Linked DNA regions of Caenorhabditis elegans. The protein of the gene in region 1 purifies or fractionates together with the protein of each later gene. This does not show direct contact. Each region holds a gene or a part of one and is shown on either strand. Other genes may lie near its edges.

What was found.
Region 2: the proteins of Y59A8B.12 (region 1) and droe-4 fractionate together in Caenorhabditis elegans (co-fractionation; one large-scale study listed by BioGRID). This does not show direct contact.

Annotation. Positions count from the first base shown.
Region 1 is NC_003283.11:18,085,182-18,088,060, forward strand, and holds Y59A8B.12 (MATH domain-containing protein), read right to left. Parts: upstream 1,044-2,879; 5' UTR 1,038-1,043; coding exon 913-1,037; intron 867-912; coding exon 635-866; 3' UTR 528-634; downstream 1-527. Other genes in the region: slr-2 (Synthetic with Lin-35/Rb), read left to right, coding at 1,952-1,981, 2,027-2,142, 2,188-2,291, 2,340-2,463.
Region 2 is NC_003283.11:13,990,706-13,994,246, forward strand, and holds droe-4 (dietary restriction over expressed), read left to right. Parts: upstream 1-1,950; 5' UTR 1,951-2,056; coding exon 2,057-2,392; intron 2,393-2,458; coding exon 2,459-2,599; 3' UTR 2,600-2,771; downstream 2,772-3,541. Other genes in the region: ric-7 (CRAL-TRIO domain-containing protein), read right to left, coding at 77-175.

The DNA.
Region 1 (2,879 bases):
AGAGGCCGTGTTGGAGCTGAAAAAAAAGTTTTAGGTTTGAATTCGAGAAAGTGTATTTTTTCTTAGTTAAATTCACTGAAAATCCGTCAAATTCTCATAATTTCAGTCCACTCAATTTATCAGTAGATGTGGCAATTTAAACCGTAAAATTCTTACATTTTCAACGAATTCATTTTTTCTTCCAAATTATCGGTCATTTTTCTGGCGAAAATGTTCTTACCAAGGGAAATTGCCAGAAAATTGAAAAGAATAAGAGAAAAATCATACGAAAAGAAACATTTTGTTATAACACTCTATTTTTCAGCAGAAATTAGCAAAAAAATCGCACTTTAAACGTTAATCTCTACTTTTAAGTGAAAAACAACCAAGAAAATCTAAAAATGAGCCAGAAGCTCGTCAATTAGAATGCCGAGTACGCAAACACTTGATATTGCGTACTTCGCCGACTACAGTACTCCAACAGAATTTATTTCGAAATATTTGATTTCCTTTACGGAAAACTTGAGAAAATAATCATAAAATTGGTTAAAATTCAATATTTCACTGATAATCGACAGAATAAGAAATTAATTCAAAGTATACACATAGTTACAATTAAAAATATATCACAAATTGCATAAATTCAAGTGGAAATTCAGAAATCAATATAAGCAGTAATCTTGATGGCTCCATTGTCAGCAGGTTGGTCAATTCGCATTCCGAATGTATGATTCCGTGAAGAAACTGTCACATCAAAGTTTTCTCCGACTTTTACTTGTCCATATTGAGCTTCCAGCAGGAATTTGCATGGGATTTCGTATTGTAGCCGAGAACGAGTGACCAGCTGTGTGTAAAGTTGGCCTCCGTCGCTGTGAAGAATGAGATCCCTGGAAAAATTAAGGTTTTCAGGGAGTTTTCTGGCATAAAAAGTACCATTCGATGCCTCGCATCTCTTCCCATTCCGATAAATCTTCATTTCTGTTGTGAAAATCGGCGGCAAATCGAGTTCGGTTGATGATGTAGCCGTTTCGGTCCTCCTCGTTCCCATTATCGGCCATTTTTGCTGAAAAATTCAAATTTTTACTCGAGTTTTGGGAGAAAAGGTGAAAAAACCTCAAAAATGTTGGTTTTCAGGGGGGGAAAAGTGGCAAATTGCACAGTTTTTACTAGAATTTAGCGTAGATTTTCAAATTAAAAGCAAAAAACTATGGAAAAAGCAAAAAATTCGCTGAAAAACGGACAAAAAAGACTTTTTTTTCAAAATGCGCCGCCGAATTCGAAAAAATGATGATTTGTGCATTTTTGCGTCGCGGTGTACTGCGTACTTTTGAAAAAACTGCGGGAAATTTGAATTTGAATTTAATTTGCAGGAATATCTGCTTGACTTTAGCGTGTTTTATTGAATAATTCATCTAATTTTGAAGATTATTGTAAAATATGAATAAAAACGACAAATTTTATATATTTTCTGTGTTTTCCTATTGTGCATTTTCAGAGATTATTCGCTGGAAACTTGGAAATTGACTTTATTGGGCAAAAAATGTTTATTAATCGACATTAATACTGAAATGATACGTAAAAATTGAAATTCTCAAGATTTCTTCGTCATTTGTTCGTTAAAATCCACTTTCTTGACGATTTTCTTTAATTTTCGGGCTTCTAAAGTGATTTTCAATTATTTTTCAAATTCCCACACATTTTCTAATGTTCAAAGTGTATTTTTTTTTCTTGGTAGCTTGAAACCTCTGAAAACCTCTGAAATCCACCGAAATTTTTCTTCCAATTCGAATTTCGCGCGCATTTCACCGTTTCGAGTCCAATGGAGCGCACTTGCATTATTTTCGAGACATTGAATTTTTCGCCTATTTTCCTCGGTTTTTCGTCATTTTTTCTGGATTTTTCTCATTTTTCCAATGTTTTTTCGAGTTTTTTGATGAAAAAATCGATTTTCTTGATTTTCAGACCACCGGAAATGTCGAAAAGTGAGCATTTCGTCAGTAAAGTGAGTCGGAACCTGGGAATTTCCGTAAATAATCCAGAAATTCAGGAAAACTGGCAACATCTCATCATGAAGCCGGGACCATCGAATTTGGCACTTCCGACGACTCAAAAATTCCGACAAACTTCGAATGGAAGGACAATGAAGCAGACTTGGACCTGCGGGTGAGAAATTTCTGGAAAAAATCGAATTTTTTTCAATTTTTTCAGAGTTTGCCGGAAGGAATTATCGTCAAAACGGAGTTATACAGAGCATATGAATATTCACAACAAATCACGGCCATTTCAATGTGAACATTGCGTTTATGCTGCAGGTTTTGGCGGAAATTCGCGAAAAAACTGCCTAAAAATTGATTTTTCAGCCTCCCAAATGACTCTACACCGTCATAAACTCCGAAATCACACTCCAAAAGCTGAATGGGGATATCGGTGTCCCTATTGTGATGATGCGTACATGGAACCTGCTGGATATCAGCAGCATGTCCAGTAAGTGGACGGAAACCTGGAAAAATCGATGAAAAATGGCTCAAAGCTCATGGGAAATTGAAAAATTCGGCCAATTTTCACCCAAAAAATTCGAGAAAGCACTGATTTTACACGTAAAACCCAGGAGTTTCATCAATTTTCCCTTTTTTTTTCGCGGAAAAGCCGAGATTCGGTGAAAAAATGGCTGAAAAGTCGATAAAATCTGCAATTTTTCCCGTTTCCGACGGGAAATTCAGCTTAAAATGGCAAAATTCATATTATTTTTTTTCTATTTTTGGCGGGAAACTGAAGAAAATTCGAAATTTTAGGTGAAAAAAATGAAAAAACCGCAAAAATTTCCAGATTTTTCGGTGAAAAATGGCGTAAATCAACGAAAAACTGATTTTTTTCAGCTAAAAATCGCTTTTTAGTGAGAA
Region 2 (3,541 bases), 4.1 Mb from region 1:
ATTTTTTGTAAACGTGGGAAAATTGTAGTGATGTTGAGTAATGTAGTGTGGTCGAAGCATTTCTGTTGAAACTCACCAAATCATGCAACTTTTTCAGATCTTTTCGCATTGAAGACGGACTGTAGCCTGGCCATTTATTCATAAAATCGCATTCTTGGACTGCATTGTCGAATCGCTGGAAAATAAACATATATTAGTTTTAATCTCCAAAAAAAATAATTTCTGGACTCGGAGATTTTGTTTAGAAAGTAATCTACCAAATCGCGCGGGTTTATAAAATTTGCCTCCCATAAGAATAAGTCTACTTTAAGCCAGTTTTTGCGTGGTTTTTGTTTTGTTGTTCTCCTCTCATACATCGGATTTTACTGTAATCCTATAAAGTGATTCAATTTCCTATTCTCATATCGTAGACATGTTGATTTGAAAGGAAACTGTCTCGTTTGACGTATTATAATAATCATTATTATTATTCACAGGCATTATTCTTCCTTTTTCCAGCTAGTCGACAGTTTCTGAAACTGTGGACACTTGGGGTTTTGAGCTCAAAAATCACAAGACAGAATATTAAATACTTCCACTTTTTTCACAGGTCAGATCTATCTGCAACAAAATGTAGTCAGAATGATACCAGATATAGGGTCATTTGACAAGGGTCCTTCTTCCTTTATTGACGTCAATAATGAAATCAGAACAAGAAATTGGGTGAAAAGTGCAAAGGGCACAAGATGTACTTTTGCCATTTTTTTAAATTTCTTTTTGAGCATCTTCGTGACCATTCAATCATTTTCAGAAGCGTTCTTCACACGCAAATGTGCCACTTCCACACCTCTCAAAAATTTGAAATTTTCACGCTGAAAATTGGATTCCTCATTTTGTGTGGTTCCTGGACACTTTAAGATTCACTAGGATTAAATTGAGATTAACAGTGACGCCCGGGAGCTCGGACTTTTCGGTTTTTTTCGGATGGGAATGCCGACTAGAAAAGTTACATTCGTTGAAGTGAGACATATTTAAAAGTACAAAACGATTTGTTGATCTTCTATACTTTATCAAATGTCTCTTTAAAGCTACTGGCAAACATTCAAATGATCACCTCATAAGGCGTGGTAGATCAATCACTAAACGTGCAGATTGTCTTTAAAAAAATTTTAACTCCAAAATTTGGTCGTTCAAATAATGAGTCAACGTTGTGGCTCACAAAACAGAAGAGTTCAGAAATATTTTTGGTGCTGGTAGCGATGCGGATAACTAATTAGTAGAGGCTAACTGAAATCATTCACGTCAAGAGGCAAAAGAACACCGAATCGCTGAGTCAAAAAGAGTTCTGATCAACAGTAGGGAAGATCGCACTGTGTAGAATGATCTCAAATGGCGCCCTGTTTGGTACGGTGAAATATAGGGCTGTACAACCGGACGTCCGGTCGTCCGAACCGGACGCACATGCGTCCGGTTGGGGGTAGCTATCCACGACGGCCGACAATTTCCGAGTTTCGCCACTCACTATAAAACTGCTGATTAAGTATAGTGAGTGGCGAAACTCGGAAATTGTCGGCCGCCGTGGAAACCTACCCCAAAACCGGACGCAGTGCGTCCGGTGGTGTCAAAATCGGACGACCGGACGCCGATTTGTACAGCCCTAGTGAAATAAGTACACGTCAAAAACCCCAATTAGTGAATAAAGGGATATCCGTGTTATTTTTTTCCGATCTCCTCATTCTGAAAACCTTACTATCTATATGACATAACTTGGCATTCTTCCCTTGATCCTTATGTACTTTTAACTTAATCAAAACATGAGCTGACCATTTATCTTAACATTATCACCCGTATCTGTCACATGTTTCTAAAAAACACCTCCTGATCTTCAGCTTTTCTTTTCCACCTCCTTTTTCCTATTTTCCAGCTCTGTTCAAAGCCCGCCTTTCGTTACTAAAAAACTGACTCCGCCCATTTCAGCTTCATCATATAAACAGAGTTGGCAGTAGGGCTAATCACTACTTCGAGTCACTCGGACATCTGCCGATCTCTTTTTTTCGATCTCACTGAAACGGTCGACATGTTGAACACTCCAACTGTTATTCTCATCTCTTCACTCGTCCTGGCCTCGGGTTACAGTGTTCGTTCAACTGCTAAGAACACCGTTCAAGATGCTCACGATCAACTCACAAAGAGCATTCGGTGCTGGGAGCCGATTGATGTCAACAATCCATCAAAAGGATACACGATGAGCGAGCCGATCTACGAGTTGTGTAGCTACATGCCAGACCCAAAGGACTACAACAAGTACTACGTCAATGGAGTTCAAATGGATTCCGATGATTACACCAACATCTTGGCCATGTACGGAAATCCAATCCCAGGACACGCTGTGATCAACGTTTGTCTACAAGAGGTAGGTTCAATATTATCAGGCTTAATATAATTGGAGGAATCGGTTTCTTATATAAAATCACTTCAGGCATTCCAATTCCACGCTGCAAACCATCCATCTCAGGTCAGCCTACGTTGTTTGTGCAAAAGAGACGGTTGCAATCTACCAAAAGGATTTACAACCTTCCTCGATTTCAATAAGCTCCCGATGCCAGAAGTCTTCTACTAATTCCTGAATCCTTTCGTCCAATAATATGCTATTCGTCGGGATGTCGCCAGTCTTCTTTTCCTATAATCCCCATTTTTGAATAATTCCTGATTTTCTTCTTCCTTGAACCCGTGATAATGACCATTTCTGATAATTGAACAAACGAACTGAATAAAGATGAGAAACGTTGCAGTATTCTGAGTTGTTCCATAATCCCAGAATCTTCAAATGATCGATTGCTTACGAATATTTGAAAGAAAAAGTGAACAAAGACTATGGTATACATACTCTCCCAACTATAAGTTAGCCGACTATTTTCAGATATCATGAAGAGGCTCCTTCGACGTAGGTAAATCTTCTGATTATACCCATTCATCTTGATTGTATAAATGCCGGATTAACTGACATCCATTATTGCTTTCCATTCTTAATCCGATTAGATTATTCCATTTGTAGATCCACCAAAAAATGAAATATATGTGTGACGTATAGAGACCAAAGAAGCTATTCATTATTCTAGATCATTCCAACTGTCTAACTTTGGTTTTCAAACTTTTAAACAGTAAATAAATGAGCCCTGAAGAGTTGATCGCCGTGCGCGTCCAACATCACCCATACAACTCATAAAGTATTCTTCGTGTGAGGTCTTGTTTACGTCACGGGCTCTTCTTGCCAAAAAGCGAAAAGCTAAAAACGAAGAACATACAACGCAACATAGGTTATTCTGCAAAATTAATGAGATCTTGCTGATGAGAGTAATCGAACACAAATTCTTCGATGCATCTGAATGATCAATCTGGCAATGAGCAATGGATACACATAAATTATTTCCCCTGCAAAACTAGTGGCATTCAATTTGCATTTTAATGATAATATGGGAATGAGCACGAATCCTCGCTTATTCCATTTATAACATTCAGGTTAACCGGTCTAGTGATTCTGAACTTTAGCAGACGAGTTAAT